2 linked regions of the Stegostoma tigrinum genome follow. The protein of the gene in region 1 purifies or fractionates together with the protein of each later gene. This does not show direct contact. Links are inferred from orthologs where the notes say so. Each region holds a gene or a part of one and is shown in the gene's direction. Other genes may lie near its edges.

Region 1 (10,751 bases):
TTTTGCATACTTAAGTGACTGTGTTTCAAAAATAATTAATGAAATGAAATACTTCACTACATTCTAAGGATCCGAAAGGTACTACCTGGATCTTCTGACACATGGGCTAATGGTCACATTATGACCTCCATTCAATGACTGCAGCTATGGACAATTTTTGCTTTTTTTCTTATCCAAATCAAATGACAAATCAGCACTTGTAAATAAACCACCTCAGGGATGTACCAGAAGGTACCCGGGTTCCATAGACTCCAAGAAAAGCCCCCAGTATTTGCAAGAAACTAGAGGCATGGAGGAGAAAACTTGACACGTATGCATACATTTGTTGCCCAATATTATAGCATCTGCTCTCATCTCCGGATACGTTAAATATGTCTGTTGTAGATAAGACAGTCAATGTTGCAACTTCACACGTCGTCCTCTATTCCAGAGAAGTTCCTCAACTCTTGCTCAGAACCTCAAATGTATGCAAGGTCAGAAATTTGCCAAATTTTACACTGACATTTTTCAACTAGAAAGTGTGATAAAACAGCACCAAGCTAGAAACAATTTTAAAGTCACTCAGGAAACTCATGACCATGAACAGCAGATAAACATATACATTTTATAATTTTATCCTTTGACAGTAACTGCACAAATGATGCGTTTAGAAATAAGATTAGCAGTTCTAAGTCTTGCGTGAAGTGTTTTTGAATAGTTAACCTAGGAAAAGTTGTCAGTGACAGTTACCATTCTTCCATGTAGACCAAAACAGTTTGCTTTTCATCCAAGCATTTAATGTCCTACACATTTTAAAATTAAAAATCACAGTAATCAGAGATGCAGGTTTCCATTTGCCAGTAGCTGACATTTGCAAACAAGCCTATTCAATACTATCAACGCCACCAAGATCACTCCCACCAACTCTCATATCCTCTAACAATGTTCCTGTTGCACCCACATGCCCCACACCACAAAAGATGCTTCGTGCGCCCAACCCACACCTTCAGTGTTTCATAGGCGGTGGCAACCAGCAGGAACTTTTCCTCGGGGTTCTCCCCGACTTCCGTGGGCCGGTAGCGGTCAGGGTGGAAGCGCCGGGCCAGCTGGCGGTAAGCGCGGGCGATCTCGCTTTTGCCAGCATCCCTCGACACTCCAAGGACATCATAGCAAGAGACAGCACCGCAGTACAAGCCTTCCACCAAGCCATCGACCTGGCCCAGGAGGGTGAAGAAAACGGCACAAAGTCGAAACAGCAACCCCACTACAAACCGGCGGCTCGCCGTCGCCATGTCAGCGAACTGGCAACCAACGTCATCACACATGCGCAGTAACTCGGCACAGCACCTTACGTTGGTGGTCGCGTATGATGAACGTCATCATTTCAAACCCTAACGGCTATTTGTTCGCGCGGGTAATCGTCACTGACCGTTCTTCACGGTGAGTTCGTTCAGGCCATCGTGTCCATACTAGCCCTTTGAATGGCCCATTGTTTCTCATCATTTCTCCTCCTACCCTTCACGATCCCCGAGTAAAGCCCTGCGATCTTCCGCCCATTAAAATACTTCTTCGATTCCTGTTTTTAAAATCATTAACAACTGTTCCTAGATCTTATTTCAATTTAAATGTTTTCCAAATGTATAATTAATAAGATTGAAGCTTATGGTGCTATCTCATGATGTTAACAGGCTGTACTTGCATTCCAGTTTCAGGAGTCTATGAGTTCAAGCTCCCTACTCCAGAGAATTGATCACAAAAAAACTTCTATAGTTTTGAGGGATGACTACACTTGGATGCACCAACTTTCATTGAGATGTTGAGTAGTTCTATCAGATATTACATATTCACTTCACAGATATTCTGTTCTACGAATATGTAATATCTGATAGAACTATTCTAAAGGTTTGCAGGGTAGGTTTCTCCTGTGTTCTATCCAGCCGTTAGCCTCAATGAACATTACAAAAAAAACCAGTTCTGGTCATTTGGAGACAGCAAGAACTGCAGATGCTGGAGTCTGAGATAACAAGGTGTGGAACTGAAGGAACACAGCAGGACAGGCAGCATCCGAAAAGCAGGAAAATTGTTGTTTTGAGTTAGGACCCTTCTTCAGAACAGGTGCCAGTAGCTGACATTTGCGTGACCTTCTGTGTTCCTCGAGCTTCACACTAAGTTTACCGAGTTCTGGTCATTTTGGTGTTTTTAACAGGACGTTGCTGTGAACATGTTGGCTAATCTTTCCCACATTACAAGAGCACTACACTTCAAAATACTTGATTAGTTGTAAATGTTTTGAGTCAACCCAAGATTTTTTAAAAATAAAGGTGCTGCGTAATTGCAGTTTAACTAACCAGTGTTTTATGTAATTTAGCTCCCCTTCCCACTCCCTTGGCAGCATGTCCATTCTGGGCCTCCTCCAGTATCACAATGAGGCCACAGGAGCATTGGAGGAAGAACACCTTATATTCCACCTTGGGAATTTACAATCCAATGGCTTCAACATAGAAGTCATGAGCTTCAAAAGTCTCCCCACCCCTGGCTTCATCCCATGTCCAGCCCTCCCTCTCATTCCTGCGTCCTTGACTTGACACAACCTGTTCTTCTTACTTCTCACCGATCCGCTCCACCCTTCCAATTGACCAAACTCTACATCCCCTACCTGCATTCACCTAACACCAGCCCACCTGCCTTTATCTATTTCTGAGCTCCCTTTCCCCAGTCCTGATGAAGGGTCCAGATCCAAAACTTTCATGTTCACCTGATGCTGCGTGACCTGCTGTGTTCTTCCAGCTCCACACTGTATTGACTATGACTTCCAACACCGTATTTCAATTTTCAGTCATTTATGTTTTGGACCACTTGAAATAAAGGCCAGCATCTCAGCTGGTCCCAATTATTTCAACAGAACAGCTCGGAACTTAAACTGGGATTATTTAACAACCTATTTGTTTGCCTTACTATCATAACTTTTTAATAGCTGGCTCATTTTATTCTATAAAATCCAGACCAATTTTCATTTAGAATGGATACTGACAATTTCCACTTTTGTGAAATATTTGGCTTTCAATCCCTAACAAAACCACTTGTGCCTGAAGTTAAGAATCCTTGTACCAGCTACAACAGATGGGAATCCCAAAATGTGACAATAAAGATAAAAAGAAAATTCCCACTAGATATTGTGCCATATATTTTGCACGCAAAGATTCCCTCATGGTACTATGAACATCCCAGTTAAGGTCTGGTAGGATATATTGGCTTAATCATTTTGAGAATGTTATTTCTAGAACATAACTTCAATTTATCTGTAGTCTTTTCCCTCCCGAAAGAATGGCATTATTTGCTATATCAATCTTTGTTGAAGTACATTATGCTACAGCGTAAAATATCACAGGGGTAGGCGATGGCCTAGTGGTATTATCACTAGACTGTTAATCCAGGAACCCAGCTAATGTTCTAGGGACCCGGGTTCAAATCTCACCATGGCATATGGTGGAATTTGAATATAATAAACATAAACTGGAATTAAGCATCTACTGATCACCATGAAAACATTGTCAATTGTCGGAAAAACCTATCAGGGAAGGAAATCTAACGTCCTTACCTGGTCTGGCTCCAGACCCACAGCAATATGGTTGACTCTCAACTGCCCTCTGAAATGGTCTAGCAAGCCATTCAGTTGTACCAATCATGACAAAGTCTCAAAGAAATGAAACTGGACAGATCACCTGGCATTGACCTAGGCATTGGAACAGACAAAGGCAGAAACAGCCCTAACGATCCTGCAAAGTCCTCCTTGCTAACATCTGGGGGCTAGTGCCAAAATTGGGAGAGCTGTCTCACAGACTAGTTAAGCAACAGCATGACATAGTTATACTCACAGAAGCATACATTACAGACAATGTCCCAGACACCACCATCAACATCCCTGGATACATCCTGTCTCACTGGCAGGACAGACCCAGCAGAGGTGGCAGCACAGAGGTATGCAGTCGAGAGGGAGTTGCTTTTGGAGTCCTCAACATTGACTCTGGACCCCATGAAGTCTTATAGCTTCAGGTCAAACATGGGCAAGGCCTCCTGCTGATTACCACATACTGTCCTCCCTCAGCTGATGAATCGGTACCGCCTCCATGTTGAACAGCAGTTGGAGGAAGCACTGACGATGGCAAAGGCACAAAATGTACTGTGATTGGGGGATTTCAATGTCCACCACCAAGAGCAGCAGTACTACTGATTGAGCTAGTCAGGTCCTAATGGACATAGCTATTAGATTGGGTCTGTGGCAGGCAGTGAGGAAATCAATGAGAGAAAAAAACATACATGACCTCATCCTTACCAACCTGCCAGCTGCAGCTGATCTATCCATGACAGTATCAGTAAGAGTGGCCATCACACAGTCCTTGTGCAGATGAAGTCCCACCTTCACATTGAGAATAACCTCCATCACATTGTGTAGCACTATCACCATGATAAATAGGACAGACTTCACACAGATCCAGCAACTCAAGATTGGGCATCCACGTGGCGCTGCTGGCCAACAACAGCGGCAGAATTGTACACCAGCACAATCTGTCACCTCATGGCCTAACATATCCCCACTCAACCATTACAATCAAAAAGATCAACCCTGATTCAAAGAAGAGTGCAAGAAGGTATGCCAAGAGCAGCACCAGGCATAGTTGAAGATGAGGTGTCAACCTGTGAAGCCATCAAACAGGATAACTTGCATGTCAAACAGCATAAGCAGCAAGTGATAGACAGAGCTAAGCGATCCCACAACCAAAGGATCAGACCTAAGCTCTGCAGTCCTATCACATCCAAGAGGAGGAGGGTCCATAAATATCAAGCAATAGTTTTACCCCTTTTATATATTCCTTAAAGCCAATCTTTTTTCTCGGTGCATTTGGTTACTTGACCCGATATGGCTGTATGGAATTCTTCCACAAACAGCAAATTATTCACTTTAAATTTGGTGATGATATGCTTTTTTAGCCAATAATATTATTATATGTGGAAGAGATGGGTTAAAGGAATTGAGGATAGATCAGCCATTATCCCATTAAATGTCAGAAGAGGCTCACATTATTATTTCAATGTTGAAGTGATTAATAAGAGTTTAAGGCGACACCAGATAGACATTAAGGCAAGAAGATTATAAGGATATATTGACAAGGTGAAGATAAAGATGAGAGGGAGGAGGCTCATAGAGTCATTACAGCAAAACAGGCATTCAGCCCAATGAGTCTGTGCAGCTTTGCAAAGTTTATATCCCCCAATGACCATGACAACTTCCAGCACCCTTGGGAGCAGGGATTCAAGACTACTCAATAATTGTGTTAAAAGCAAACATTCTTTCTCACATCCCCGTGGATATTTTTTGCCTAAAGCCTTAAAATGGTATGCCCTTATATCATTCGCAGATGTGAGATTTGCTTTATCTTCAACCTGTCAAATCTCAGCTTTTGTGCTCCTAAGATGCTGCTTGGCCTGCTGTGTTCATCCAGCCCCACACTTTGTTATCTTGGATTCTCCAACATCTGCAGTTCCTATTATCTCTGATCTCAAATCTCCCCTTGATGCCCTTTGCTTGAAGTAGAACAACAGATGTTCTTCCGATCTGACATACTCGCTAAATTCCCTTATTCCTGGAATCATTCTTGCAAACCTGCTCTGCACCCTCACATACTTCCCGAAATGTCGTTACTGGAGCTGAATGCTCTATTATTACTTATATACAAGCAGCAGATCACAGACATTGGGCTGAATGGCCTGGTTCAATGTTATACCTTAAAGGAACCAAGGTACCTGGATATTCACCTGAAGTGGTGTAACCTGCAAGGTTCTGGATCAGGTACTGGAAAGTGGCATGATCATGGGTAGCTAGTTTTTTTTTCAGCAGAGACACAAGGGGCTGAATGGTCTCCTTCTGTGCCGTAATGTTTTGATGGTTCAGTGGAACTTAGGACTCAGCAGGCCATTCAAACTTGTTCTGCCGTTCAATAAGATCATGACTGAACGCCACTTCTTTCATCTGAGTCCAATGGGTTGCGAAATGGTTGTTAAGTCTAACCAATCTGCAGAGTTTACCACACTCGGGACAGGTTTTACTTGATGGGTCGGGCAGACAGAAATGTTTGAGGGGGAGGTTTGAACACTCGCTGGAACGCATCGACTTCACCTCGGCGTGCTGCTAAGGAGGCCACTTTACGGGTCTGGGGCCTTACCGAGTGAGGGTCTCACGTTTGGAGGGGGATGACATTTCAAAGGCCTCTGTCACCCGCGGGTGGGACCACGTGATTTAGGGCGTGAAGACGTGGCCCCTTTAAGAGAAACCGCAGGGTTCTGCCCCGCATGGCAGGAACGTCATCGAAAGGCGCCTGCCGTCTCTAAATCGTCAATTTTCCACAAATCGTTAATTATTCTCCAAACGCCAGGAATCCGCCGCAATAATTACATTAATCTTGAGCTGCTGCGTTTTCTGTCTTAAAATTGCATGGCGGTACTGAGGTGAAAGCGCCACTGAACCAACTGAGGCCATTGAACTAACGGTCAGGGATTGGCGCCAAAATTTAAACTGCTGGGAGGCAACCGGAGCTCTCCGAGTTGCAGTGAAATTCCGGATTTAGTTTAATTTAACACGGTGAAGGAAAATGTATATAAAATCCATCATCATCGACGGCTTCAAGTCTTACGCGCAACGGACGGAGATTAACGGCTTCGATCCGCTCTTTAATGCTATTACCGGCCTAAACGGCAGCGGCAAGTCCAACATCTTAGACTCCATCTGCTTCCTCCTCGGCATCAGTAACTTGTCCCAGGTTCGACAGGGAAGTGGGGGGAAGATGGGGATCGCAAGTTAGGAGGAGAAGGGGGCGATCGGAGAAGGTGTAGGATGTGAAGGGTTCAGTGCGGCCCAAGGGACTTTAGGTGGTGAGAGAAAAGATTTTTAAAAAATGGGGGTTCAGAGGAGGAAGGGAAGGGGGTGATGGTGTTGGAAGATTGAGTTGAGGAAGTGAAATAGTGGTGATGGTGTAAAGTTGTGCGAAGGAAGGGGACAAAGGAGGTTGCTTTGGGGAGGGGGATGGAAGTGGGTCATGGAGATATACAACACAGAAACATCCTTCGGTCTAACTCGTCCGCATTAATTTAGTCCCATTTGTCAGCATTTGGCCCGTCTCCCTCCGAAAACACTTTCTATTCATTCAGCTGCCTTTTAAATGGAAACTGCGGATGCCGTAAATGAGAAACAAAAATAGAAGTTGCTGGAAGAGATCAGCATCTGTGAAGAGAAATCAGAAATGGGCAGTTCTGAGGAAGGGTCACCGGTCTCGAAACGTTAGCTCTGATTTCCCTTCACAGATGCTGCCAGACCTGCTGAGCTTTTACAGCAGCTTCTGTTTTTGTGCCTTCTAAATGTTGTAATTGTACCAGCCTCTTCCACCTCCACTGGAAGCTCATTGCATACATTCATCACCCTCTGTGTGCAAAAAGTTATCCCTGAGGTCTATTTTAAATCTTGCCCCTCTCACTTTAAATCTATGCCCTTTAGTTTTGGACTCAACTACCTAGGGAAAACACCTTGACTATACACCCTATTCATGTTCCTTTTTTTAAAAACCTCTATAAGATCACCCATCATCCTCCAATGTTTCAGGGAAAATAGTCTCACCCTATTCTGCCTTTCCCAATAACTGCAACCATGGTACCATCCTTGTAAATCTTTTCTGAACCCTTTCAAGTTTCACAACTTCTTTCCTACATCAGGGATACCAGTATTGCAAAAGTGGCCTAACCAATGTCTTGTACAGCCGCAACTCTCTTACCCAATGCTCTGACCAATAAAAAACAGGATATCAAACACCTTCTTCACTATTCTATCCACCTGGGACTCCACTTTCAAGGAACTATGAACCTGCACTCCAAGGCATCTTTGTTCAGTAACGCTGCCCAGGACTGTACCATTTAAGTGTATAAATACTACCCCCAATTTGCTTTTCCAAAATGCAGTATTTCATGTTTACCTAAATTAAACTCTGTCTGCCACTCCTTGGCCCAGTAGCTCATCTAATCAAGATCCTGTTGTACTCTGAGGTAACCATCTTTGTTGTCCATACATTTAAAATTTTGATGTAATCTGCAAACTTACTAACCGCACCTTGTACATTCACATCTATATCAGAGGAGAGTAGTATATTGTTGCTGAGAGCGGGGGAAGGAAGGACTGGAGTGATCTTTAAGAAATATTAAGAAACCATTTAAGAAATATTCACTTTGGTAGAAAAATTAAATGTGAAGTAACAACATTTTCCCACATGATGTTCCATCTGTGGTGACCTTGTCCACTCAGCTTGTCTAAATCTCTGCATCCCCTTCCCATTTATATTCCCATCTAGTTTGTGTCAACAGCAAATTTCAGTGTCCATCGAATTATTGATGTAGACTATGAAATCTGGGACCCATGCACTGATCGTGGTAGTACTAGTCACCTCCCGCAACCAGAAAATGATCAGTTTGATTTTGTTCCGTGTTCTGTATGTCAATCATTCCTCAATCTTTGCCGGTATATTCCTTCAAACTGATGTGATCTCATTTGGATTCCTAACCTCCTTAATGGCACCTTATTAACAGCCTTCTGAAGATCCAAATACACTCTGTCTATTCTGCGAATTACATCCTCGATAAAATCTTAACTAGTTTGTCAAAAAGATTTCCTTTTCATAAATCCATGTTAACTCAGAATCCTAATAGTATTTTCTAAGCCCAATTATCTTTGAGATTCCAATGTTCTTTTTACTATTGATATTAGGCTACTATTTAATTGGAAATCAATATAATGCTTCAGACATTTTGGGTTTTGGAGTATTTTAATGCTAATTTTCATTGCAACCTTGTTTTGTTGTCTGCTGTTAGGTGCGAGCCAGCAACCTGCAGGATTTGGTCTACAAAAATGGGCAAGCAGGGATTACAAAAGCCACTGTCTCAATTACCTTTGATAACTCTGACAAAAAACAAAGTCCTCTGGGCTTTGAGACTCATGATGAAATTACTGTCTCGAGACAGGTACTCTGCAACATTTCTATCGTATTTAATATTCCACAATGTTAACAATGAAAACTTCTTCAGAAGAGTCTCTTCCTGACTCTTCTGTCTTATGCCTTTTGAACTGGATACTGGTCCATTTTGTATTCTCACCCCTGCAAACTGGGATTGATTCTCAGCGGGTGAAGCAAATATGGCACAAGTTAAGGTCATATAGTGTCATATAGGATAATAGTTTGTTCTTCCTCGGTTGTGGAATCAGAGCTGATGCTCTCTGCACACTCTTGTAATGCCAGGGAGGTTCTTGTGCAAAGTTGTTACGACTAGGTGAGATGGTGAGAATTTTTTATTTCAACCTCCCTGGTTGGTCACACTAAAGCTTTGTGGTTTTTTTTAGCATGAGGCTATTATCTTTTTTCCCGTTAAAATAGTAAGCAGTACATCATAAGACTTTCTTCAGTGAAAGAACAATTCCTATTACCTGCTGATCCTGACAAAAATAAAAACACAATACCAAACTTACACTCGTGTGTAAAGTTAAAAATAGTGTCCTGTTCAAAAGAAACTTGAAAGGAACAAATAGTTCTAAAATACTTTGAGTGTCCTTGAAGTAAGGTTTCAACCTGAAACCATGGTTATTTACTTATGGTCTTGGATATCAGCAGTCTCAATTCTCCTTGGAGTTTTGTTCTAATTTTTGTTTTTAACCTATGTGTCACTTAACATCTTTTCTTTGCATTAGACAGAGAATTTTCTCCAGCTGGTTGCAATTGTTTGTGTATTTTCATATCTGGGTTTATTGAACTTCAAGCTTGGTAATTGCAGGGCCTGTCTTCTCCAATGTGCAAATATTGGGTGTGCTATAAAAATAGATGAAAATATTTCCATGCCTCTGTCTTGAAGGATGTTGACTGTCTTCCTTGCTTTTGGATAAAAATGTTCATCTCTGTTTGAGTGTCTGCTGTCCGATTTACATTGAAACTTAGTCAAGTGATTGCTGTACCATTTTAAGTCAGTATTTCAGTCCATGAAAGTTGCAGACATAATCTGATTGTGGAATTCAAAAAGCATCATGACATTGCTTTTCTGATGATTGAATGTGTTTGTTGCCAGGATGAAACAGATTTTTGCCTTGTCAAAAAATGTGGCAATAACTGGACAGCACTCACTTTGGCATTACACATAATACTGTCATTTAGTGCGTCGTCCTCATTATATCATGCTAATGGCATAATGTGTTGCCTTCAGTGAAAACTTGTAAAGGTTATTGGGCACAAGATTTGTATGATTTAGTGCTCGTGTGCGAAGTAAAGCATAATATTATACAAATTGACAATAAATAATGTGAAAAGTTGCAATTCTCAACTTGATATCTGCCTGCTCAAATCAGATTTTAAGTATTAAATCGCGTAAACTGTCTAGTTAGAGGAATTTGTCGTACTGCTTTCTGTAATCTATGTTAGAAAGACTCTGCTTACAATGATTAATAAATTTCTCCAGTGGCTGCATTTCTGTATTTTTTTTAAAGTTTGTGTTGTGTTTTTGGAATCATTGTCTTTTTACTGCCAAACAATTAAAACTATTCATTTTTCAGGTGGTAATTGGTGGGAGAAACAAGTACTTAATTAATGGTGTGAATGCAAACAACACCAGAGTGCAAGATCTCTTCTGTTCAATCGGTCTGAATGTCAACAATCCACATTTCCTTATCATGCAGGTTTGTACATATGTCAGAG
Region 2 (10,651 bases), on another chromosome or scaffold:
AGCAGTGATATGATCGGACGAATTGTGGATTTTCAGTCATTAAGACAACAGGGAAACAGACCCTTTGGTCCAACTAGTACCATGCTGACCAGGTTTCCCAAATAAAACCGGTCCCACTTGGCTGCATTTGGCTCATTTCCCTCCAAACCTTTCCTGTTCATCTACCTGTCCCAATGTCTTTTAAATGATGTTACTGTATCTGGATCAACCACTTCCTCTGGCAGTTCATTCCACATACAAACCACTCTCAGTGTGAAAAGGTTGCCCCTCAGGTCGAGGGAAAACAGGGAATTACAGACCAGTGAGTTTAACATTGGTAACGGGGAAAATTTTTGAATCCATTGTCAAGGACTTTTAACAGAGCATTTAGAAAGCAGTGGCAGGATCAGACAGAGTCAGCATGGATTTATGGAGGGGAAATCATGCTTGACAAACCTGTCGGAATTCTATGAAGATGTAACTAGTAGAGTAGATGTGGGGAAGCCAGTCGATGTAGTATATTTGGATTTTCACATAGTGTTTGACAAAATCCCACATAAGAGATTAATGTGTAAGATTAAAGTGCATGGGAGTGGAGGTAGGAAACTAGTTGGCAGAACAAAACAAAGAGTAGGAATTAATGGATCCTTTTCACAATGGTAGGCAGTAATTAGTAAGGTGACACAGGGATTAGTATTGGGACCCCAGCTATTCATAATATATATTAATGATTTGGATGAGGGAACAAAATGTAACATCTCCAAGTTTGCAGATGATATCAAGTTGAGTGGGAGAGTAAACTGTGACGAGGATGCAGAGATCATCCAGAATGATTTCGACAGGTTGGTTGAGTGCACAAATCAATGGCATATGCAGTATAATTTGGATAAATGTGAGGTTATTCACTTTGGAAGCAAAAATAAGAAGGCCAATTACTACCTGAATGGCTGTAAATTGGGAGAGGGCAGTGTGCAGCAGGGCCTGGGTATCCTTGTGCACCAGTCACTGAAGGCAAGCATGAAGGTGCAGCAGGTGGTAAAGCAGGCAAATGGTACGTTGGCCTTCATTGCCAGAGGTTCGGTACAGGAGCGGGGATATGTTGTTGCAGTTGTACAGGACCTTGGTGAGACCACACCTGGAATATTGTGTGCAGATTTGGTCTCCTGTTCTGAGAAGGGATGCTCATACTCTCAAGGGAGTGCAGCGAAGGTATAGCAGGCTGATTCTGGGAATGATGGGTCTAACGTATGAGGAGAGATTGACTAGGCTGGGATTGTTTTCACTGGAGTTCAGATAAATGAGGGGGGATATCACAAAGACTTATAAAAACAGGACTGGACAGGATAGATGCAGGGAGGATGGTCCTGATGGTGATTATGTCCAGAACCAGGGATTACAGTCTGAAGATTCGGGATAGATGATTTAGGATGAGGAAACATTTCTTCACCCAAAGAGTGGTGAGCCTGTGGAGTTCATTACCACAGGAAGTAGTTGATACCAAAACACTGAACGTATTCAAGAGGAGACTAGATATAGCATTTGGGGCAAATGGGATCAAAGGTTAGAGAGATAACTCTCTGAATAAAGAGGCTTCTTCTCATCTCAGTCTTCGTTTGAACTATCTTGAAATTATGATCCCTAGTTACTGAAATACTAACTCTGGAAACAAAATATCCACTTTACCCTATCAGGATTGTTCATAATATTGAACACTTCAATAAGGTTCCCTTTCAACATTCTCTGCTCCAAGGAGAATAAGCCCAATTTCACTAGTCTTTCCTTGTATCAAAAATTCCTCATTCCTGGTATCATTGCAGTAAATTTCCGATAAGCCTCCTTCACAAATATTTCAACTTGCCTGGCCAGCTTCAGAGAATCTGTGAACCTCAAGTTTCCTCTAATCCTGTACTCCCCTCAAAGTTGTACCATTGAGCCTGTATTGTCTCTGTTTCTTCTGTAAAATGATTAACTCACACTTTTAAAATTTATCTGCCAGGCATCTGCCCAATTGGCCAACTTGTCAATGTCCCTGAAGTCGCTCAGCATCATCTTCAATATACTTCCCAAGATTAGTATTGTCTGCAAAATTTAGAGATTTTGCCATCAACACTCATTTCCAAATCAGGAAAAAAAACAAGGGTCTCAACACCGATCCCTATGAACACCACCTTCAATTTATCTCCAATCGGAGAAGTGCCCATCCATACACACTCTCTTTTTCCTATCTTTTCACAGTCATTGAGGTTTACTGCATGAGTATAGGCCCTTTGGCCTAACTTGTCCATTTTTGTTTTACAATTAAACTAGTTTTTACAATTAAACTAGTTCTATTTGCCTGCATTTTGTCTATGTTCCTCTATACCTATACAATCCATGTATCTGTTCAAGTGTTTGTTAAATGACGAAATTGGACTTGCCTCCACCAGCCTGTTTCCCAGACCATCTGTGTGAAAAAAATGATCCCTCTGGACTCTCTTGTATCTCTCCCCTCTCACCTTAAACCTATGCCCTCTAGCTTTAAATTCCCCTACCAAGAGGAAAATACATTATCTATTTACCTTGTCTATGCTTCTCATGACTTTATAAACCTCTAAAAGGTCATCCCTCAGTTTCCTACACTCCAGGAAAAACAGTCCCAGCCTATCCAGCATCTCTCTATTACGCAAACCTTCCAGTCCAGGTAGCATTCTTCTAAATTTTTCCACACTCTTTCTAGTTTAATAATATCCTTTCTATTGTAGGGCGACCAGAACTGGATTCAGTACTCCAAATGAGACCTCATCACCATCATGTACAACTGCAACAAGATGCCCCAACTCCTATACTCAATGCACTGACTGATGAAAGCAAGCAGGTCAAAAGCCTTTGTCACCACCCTGTCTACTTGTCTCTCCACTTCCAAGCAGTTATGAACCTGTACCCCTCGATCTCTTGGTTCTATAACACTCCCCAGTGCCCTACCATTGACTCTAAGTCCTGCCCTGATTTGACCTACCAAAATGCAATACCTTCCATTTATCTAAATTAAACTCCATCTGTTATTCCTCAGCCCAGGTGATCAAGACATTGCTTTATTCCTTGATAACCTTTTTCACTGTCCACTATACCACCAATCTTGATGTCATCCACAAACCTATTAACCATACTTCCAAAATTCTCATCCAAATTGCTAAATAAGTGAAGAATAACAGTTGACCCAGCACTGATCCCTTTAATACACTGCTGGTCACAGGCCTCCAGTGTGAGAAAAAAACCCTTTACCACCATACTCTGTCTCCTACCATCAAGCCAATTAAGCTAGCTGAGTGTGAGAATTAACCTTACTCCACAATCCACCATGTGGTACCTTGTCAAAGGCTTAGCTAAAACCCATGCTGACAATATCAATTGCACCAATGTCATCTACTTTCTTTGTCACCCTTTCAAAAAATTCAATCAAATTCATGAAACACGATTTCCCATGCACAAAGCCATGCTGACTAACCGTGGTGAGTCCTTGCCTCTTCAAATACCCGTCGATCCTATCCCTCAGAATGCTTTTGAACAACTGACTCACCACAGACTTTTGCTGGTCTATAATTACCAAACATTTTCCTATTGCCTTTCTTAAATAATGACACAATATCAGCCACCTCCAATCTTCTGATACCACACCCATGGCTATTGATGATACAAATGTTTCTGTTAGGGCCTGCAATTTTGTCCCTCGCCTCCCACAAAATCCTGGGATACACTTCATCTCGTCCCAGGGATTTATCTATTTAATGCATTTTAAAATTTCTAGCACCTCCTCTTCTATAATGTGGACTCTTTTAAAGACATCACTGTTTATTTTCCCAAATTTCTTAGCATCTACACCTTTCTCGATGGTAAATGCTAATTAGAAATATTCATTCAGGATCTCACCCATCTCTTGCAGCTGCACACTCAGACAACCTTGTTGATCTTAACCTTTAAGTGTTCCTATTCACTCTTTTGTCCATCACGTACTTGTAGAATTTCTTGGGATTCTCTGTTACCTTACCAAAGCCATCTTTTGATGCCAGTTAGCCCTCCTGATTCGTCCCTTCAGTGTCCTCCGACAGATCCTATACTCCTCCACTAATTCACTTGATCTCAGCTGGCTATACATGTCATATGCCCCTTTCTTTTTCTTGACCAGGGCCTTCATGAGGGCCTCTCTATGAAATGAAAATCATGTTTGAAAGATCTAGTGGAATTTTTCAAGATGTAATGAGTACAGTTGATAAGTGGACCAAGTGAATGTGGTTGCAGAGCCTTTAGATAAGGTCCCACATAAAATTAGGATATAGGATAGGAATAGCATACTGATGTGGATGGAGATAATAGGAACTGCAGATGCTGGAGAATCTGAGATAACAAGGTGTTGAGCTGGATGAACACAGCAGGCCAAGCAGCATCCTAGGAGCAAGAAAGCTAGCAGCATCTTAGGAGCAGGAGAACTGGTTGGCAGACAGGAAACAAAGAGTATTAATAAATAGGTCATTTTCCAATTGTCAGCCAGTGACTACTGGGGTATTACAGGGATAAGTGCTTGCAACACAGCAATTAACTAAACATAATGGAGCAGCTGGTGAAGTTCAGAGTGGGACTGTAATAGCAGGGAAGGAAAAGGAGGACTCTAAGTTATTTTTTTACATATTATTTTAGGTTAATGAAAATGGCACCTATTCATAGAGACAGTATAAACTTTTCATTGTATTTTATATTGAATACACACAACAACAAATGATTCAATTCAATAATCTACCATGACAAGATAATTAGCTTCTGTTAGCATAATGAGACATACTTCCAGCTTCAGCCATGGTCAGTCTGGAATGTCATTTTTATCAGCAGCTCTCTAGTTTGCTTTGTTTGAACTTGTTACAAGCACTGTACTGTGGTTAGCACAACAACACTTCTACTTCAGAGATAATGGGAACTGCAGATGCTGGAGAATCCAAGATAACAAAGCATGGGGCTGGATGAACGCAGCAGGCCAAGCAGCATCTTAGGAACACAAAAGCTGACGTTTCAGGCCTAGACCCTTCATCAGAAAAGGGGGATGGGGAGAGGATTCTAAAATAAATGGAAGGGGGGGGTGGGGAGGCAGACCAAAGATGGATATAGGAGAAGATAGGTGGAGAGGAGAGTATGGGGGGGGGGGGGGGGAGGTAGGGAGGGGATAGGTCAGTCCAGGGAGGACAGACAGGTCAAGGGGGCAGGATGAGGTTAGTGGATAGGAAATGGAGGTACAGCTTGAGGTGGGAGGAGGGGATAGGTGAGAGGAAGAACAGGTTAGGGAGGGAGGGATGAGCTGGGCTGGTGTCCATCCTGGGCCTCCTGCAGTGCCATAATGATGCCACCCGTAGGTTGCAGGAATGGCAACTCATATTCCGCTTGGGAACCCTGCAGCCCAATGGTATCAATGTGGATTTCCCCTCCCCCCCGACTCCCAAAACTAGCCCAGCTTGTCCCCACCTGCCAAACCTGTTTTCCCTCTCACCCATCCCCCTCCTCACACCTCAAGCCGCACCTCCATTTCCTACCTACTAACCTCATCCCACCTCTCGCCTCCACGTATCTTCTCCTCTATCTATCTTCAGTCCGCCTCCCCCTCTCTCCCTCTCTCCCTATTTATTTCAGAATCTTCTTCCCATCCCCCTTTTCTGATGAAGCGTCTCAGCACGAAACGTCATCCCCTACCCCCACAGGCACTTCATTGACGTAGCTCCCAGTTCGGGACGGAGCCTCCCCGTGTTGCTTGGTGACTTGTAGGGGCGGGGCCTCCCTCAGCCACCCGGCGACAGTTAGGGGCGGGGCCTCATCCGCGCGCCCGGTTTGAACGCACGCATGCGCAGTACTGATGGTCTGCTGGTGATAGCGCGCGCATTTTGGCTCCCTTTCCTTCTGCAGGCAAACGTCAAGAAAATACAAAAAAAACGTGACGCTGGTTTCGGTGCATCTTATTCCCAGGTAAGATCAAAAGGAAAAACAAGAACGGTTGTGTAATACACTTCTGTTCTCAGGACATGAGGACTGTTGTGTCCCAATCTGCCGCGAGTGACAAGAGCGACTTGGGGAATGAGCAGAGGTTCAGTAACTCGTTTTTAGTATGTGTGGGTATCAAATGACTTCTTGTGTAAATTGGATCGTGCCTCAGGAACTTCTGCGTGTTTGTATATCGTTTGTGTTTTTCAAATGCGTATCTTCCCTGCAGTAGAAATCGCAATTTAACGTATCACAGGAACAGATTGAGTTTGAGGGCTGGTGTTGACATGTAAGAATGTGTAAATTCTGATTTCAATGAACCAATAAAGCTCTATGCTACTAAAACTGAGCAGGGGATTTTTTAAAAAAAATGTATATTCCTTCAAGGGATGTGAGTGTCATTAGTTAGGCCAGCATTTATTGCCCATTCCTAATTGCCTCGGAGAAGATGGTGGTGAGTGGCCTCCTTGAATATCTGCAGTCCTTGGGTTGTAGCTATGTTCAGCACGGTTAGGAGTGGTATTCCAGGATTTTAATTCAGCTGCATTTGAAAGAATGGTGACATATTTCCAAGTCAGGGTAACGAGAGTCTTGGGGAGGAACTTGCATTGCATGATCTGTTAGTTTCATTAGAGATTGAAAACCAAAAGGACTGCGAATGCTGTAAATCAGGAACAAAAAGAGGTTTCTGGAAAAGCTCAGCAGATCTGACAGCATCTGTGAAGAAAAAAGATCACATGTAACATTTTGGATCCGGTGACCCTTCCTCAGAACAGTTCTGAGGAAGCGTCACCGGACCTGAAACGTTAACTGATTTTTTTGTTCTTCACGGACGCTGCCAAACCAGCTGAGCTTTTCCTGAAACCTCTAATTTTGTTGTTATTAGAGATTGAACACCCAGCATTCACTGCCTTCCAGGGAAAGAGAACTCCCCGCATTAACATAGATAACAAGGTGTAAGAGCTGGATGAACACAGCAGGCCAAGCAGCATCAGAGGAATAGGAAAGCTGACATTTTGGGTCTAGACCCTTCTTTAGAAATGGTCTAGACCCGAAATGTCAGATTTCCTGCTCTTCTGATGCTGCTTGGCCTGCTGTGGTCATCCAGCTCTACACCTTGTATTTTCAGACTCTCCAGTGCCAGCAGTTCCCACTATCTGTCCCTACATTAACAATTCTTTTGAGAGAAATTTTTACTTATCCTTGTCTTAAAGGGATGACCTCTTATTCTTAAACTGTACTTTTTGATCTCAACCCCAAGAGAAAACAACGTCGTCCACATATGCATCCAGTGCAATTGCCTCAAAATCTTGTATGTTTGAAAAGATCGCATCACATTTTCTGAACTCTAATTAGATATTGGTCTAATCTGTTTCTAAATAAATATGCCCTTCATCCCAGGCATGAGTCCAGTGATAACAAAGTGTGGAGCTGGATGAACACAGCAGGCCAAGCAGTATCTCAGGACCACAAAAACTGACGTTTCGGGCCTAGACCCTTCATCAGAGAGGGGGATGGGGAGAGGGTTCTGGAATAAATAGGGAGAGAGGGGGAGGCGGACCGAAGATGGAGAGAAAAGAAGATAGGTGGAGAGGAGAGTATAGGTAGGGAGGGGATAGGTCAGTCCAGGGAAGACGGACAGGTCAAGGAGGTGGGATGAGGTTAGTAGGTAGATGGGGGTGCGGCTTGGGGTGGGAGGAAGGGATGGGTGAGAGGAAGAACCGGTTAGGGAGGCAGAGTCAGGCTGGGCTGGTTTTGGGATGTAGTGGGGGGAGGGAATGAACTGGGCTGGTTGTGGGATGCGGTGGGAGAAGGGGTGATTTTGAAGCTGGTGAAGTCCACATTGATTCCACCTATCTGGACTCCATTTTCTCCCCTTTCGTCCAGGAACCCCCCACCTATGTCAGTGACACCACCCACACCCTCCACCTCCTCCAGAACTTCCAATTCCCTGGCCCCCAACACCTCATTTTCACCACGGACGTCCCGTCCCTATACGCCTGTATTCCTCATGCAGATGGCCTCAAGGCCCTCCGCTTCTTCCTTTCCTGCAGGCCTGACCATTCCCCCTCCACCGACACCCTCATCCGCCTAGCCGAACTCGTCCTCACCCTCAACAACTTCTCTTTCGATTCCTCCCACTTCCTACAGACAAAGGGGGTGGCCATGGGCACCTGCATGGGCCCCAGCTATGCCTGTCTCTTTATATGTTACGTGGAACAGTCCCTCTTCCGCACCTACACAGGCCCTAAACCCCACCTCTTTCTCCGTTACATTGATGACTGTATTAGCGCCGCATCTTGCTCCCCAGAGGAGCTCGAACAGTTCATCCACTTCACCAACACCTTCGACCCCAACCTCAAGTTCACCTGGGCCATCTCCAACACATCCCTCACCTTCCTGGACCCCTCAGTCTCCATCTTAGGCAACCAGCTAGCTACTGATGTCCATTTCAAGCCCACCGACTCCCACAGCTACCTAGAATACACTTCCTCCCACCCACCCTCCTGCAAAAATTCCATCCCCTATTCCCAATTCCTCCGCCTCCGCCGCATCTGCTCCCAGGATGAGCCATTCCACTCCCGCACATCCCAGATGCCCAAGTTCTTCAAGAACCGCAACTTGCCCCCCACAGTGGTTGAGAACGCCCTTGACCGTGTCTCCCGCATTTCCCGCAACACATCCCTCACACCCCGCCCCCGCCACAACCGCCCAAAGAGGATCCCCCTTGTTCTCACATACCACCCCACCAACCTCCGGATACAACGCATCATCCTCCGACACTTCTGCCATCTACAATGCGACCCCACCACCCAAGATAATTTTCCATCCCCACCCTTGTCTGCCTTCTGGAGAGACCACTCTCTCCGTGACTCCCTTGTTCGCTCCACACTCCCCTCCAACCCCACCACACCCGGCACCTTCCCCTGCAACCGCAGGAAGTGCTACACTTGCCCCCACCCCTCCTCCCTCACCCCTAACCCAGGCCCCAAGATGACTTTCCATATTAAGCAGAAGTTCACCTGCACATCCGCCAATGTGGTTTGCTGTATCTATTGTATCCGGTGTGGCTTTCTCTACATTGGGGAAACCAAGCGGAGGCTTGGGGACTGCTTTGCAGAACACCTCTGCTCGGTTCGCAATAAACAACTGTACCTCCCAGTCGCAAACCATTTTAACTTCCCCTCCCATTCCTCAGACGACATGTCCATCATGGGCCTCCTGCAGTGCCACAATGATGCCACCCAAAGGTTGCAGGAACAGCAACTCATATTCCGCTTGGGAACCCTGCAGCCCAATGGTATCAATGTGGACTTCACCAGCTTCAAAATCTCCCCTTCCCCCACCGCATCCCACAACCAGCTCAGTTCGTCCCCTCCCCCCACTGCATCACACAACCAGCCCAGCTCATTCCCTCCCCCCACTGCATCCCAAAACCAGCCCAGCCTGTCTCTGCCTCCCTAACCTGTTCTTCCTCTCACCCATCCCTTCCTTCCATCTCAAGCTGCACCTCCATTTCCTACCTACTAACCTCATCCCACCTCCTTGACCTGTCCGTCTTCCCTGGACTGACCTATCTCCTCCCTACTTCCCCACCTATACTCTCCTCTCCACCTATCTTCTTTTCTCTCCATCTTTGGTTCGCCTCTCCCTCGCTCCCTATTTATTCCAGAACGCTCTCCCTATCCCCCTCTTTGATGAAGGGTGTAGGCCTGAAACGTCAGCTTTTGTGCTCCTGAGATGCTGCTGGGCCTGCTGTGTTCATCCAGCTCCACACTTTGTTTTCTTGGATTCTCCAGCATCTGCAGTTCCCATTATCAATTTGAAATGCCTCTGAAACAATTAACTATTTTTCAAATAAGTAGGCCAAGACATAGTATTCCAGATGTGATCTCATCAGTCCCCTGCAGAGCACCAGTAAAGCTTTTCTTTTATGTTCCTTTATAAAATTGTAGAAAATAGGTGCATGCTGTTTTCCATAGAACATAGAACAAAACAGCGCAGAACAGGCCCTTCGGCCCTCAATGTTGCACCAACCTGTGAACTAATCTTAGTCCCTCCCCCTATACTATCCCATCGTCATCCACATGCTGATCCAAGGACTGTTTAAATGCCCCTAATGTGACTGCGTTAACTACATTAGCAGGCAGGGCGTTCCATGCCCTTACCACTCTCTGAGTAAAGAATCTGCCTCTGACATCTGTCTTAAATCTATCACCCCTCAATTTGTAACTATGTCCCCTTGTACAAGCTGAAGTCATCATCCTCGGAAAAAGAGTCTCACTGTCACACCCTGTCTAATCCTCTGATCATCTTGTATATCTCTATTAAATCCCCTCTTAGCCTCCTTCTCTCCAATGAGAACAGACCCAAGTCCCTCAGCCTTTCTTCATAGGGCCTGCACTCCAGACCAGGCAACATCCTGGTAAATCTCCTCTGCACCTTTTCCAATGCTTCCACATTCTTCCTGTAATGGGGTGACCAGAACTGCATGCAGTATTCCAAATGAGGCCGCACTAGCGTTTTGTACAGTTGCAGCATGATATCACGGCTCCGGAACTCAATCCCTCTACCAATAAAACCTAACACACCATAAGTCTTTTTAATAGCACTATCAACCTGGGTGGCAACTTTCAGGGATCTGTGTACATGGACTCCCAAGATCCCTCTGCATATC

Evidence for each region. The genes of interacting proteins can lie anywhere in the genome.
Region 2: the proteins of smc2 (region 1) and ncapg2 purify together in Homo sapiens (affinity purification with western blotting; 4 studies listed by BioGRID and IntAct, with this or other methods). This does not show direct contact. The link is inferred for Stegostoma tigrinum from reciprocal best matches to the Homo sapiens genes SMC2 and NCAPG2.

The regions. Positions count from the first base shown.
Region 1 is NC_081356.1:31,466,773-31,477,523, reverse strand, and holds the start of smc2 (structural maintenance of chromosomes protein 2), read left to right. Parts: upstream 1-6,269; 5' UTR 6,270-6,626; coding exon 6,627-6,794; intron 6,795-8,886; coding exon 8,887-9,036; intron 9,037-10,609; coding exon 10,610-10,732; intron 10,733-10,751. Other genes in the region: dnajc25 (dnaJ homolog subfamily C member 25), read right to left, coding at 984-1,271. UniProt on the Homo sapiens protein: Central component of the condensin complex, a complex required for conversion of interphase chromatin into mitotic-like condense chromosomes.
Region 2 is NC_081355.1:138,681,418-138,692,068, forward strand, and holds the start of ncapg2 (condensin-2 complex subunit G2), read left to right. Parts: upstream 1-5,848; 5' UTR 5,849-5,958; intron 5,959-10,651. UniProt on the Homo sapiens protein: Regulatory subunit of the condensin-2 complex, a complex which establishes mitotic chromosome architecture and is involved in physical rigidity of the chromatid axis.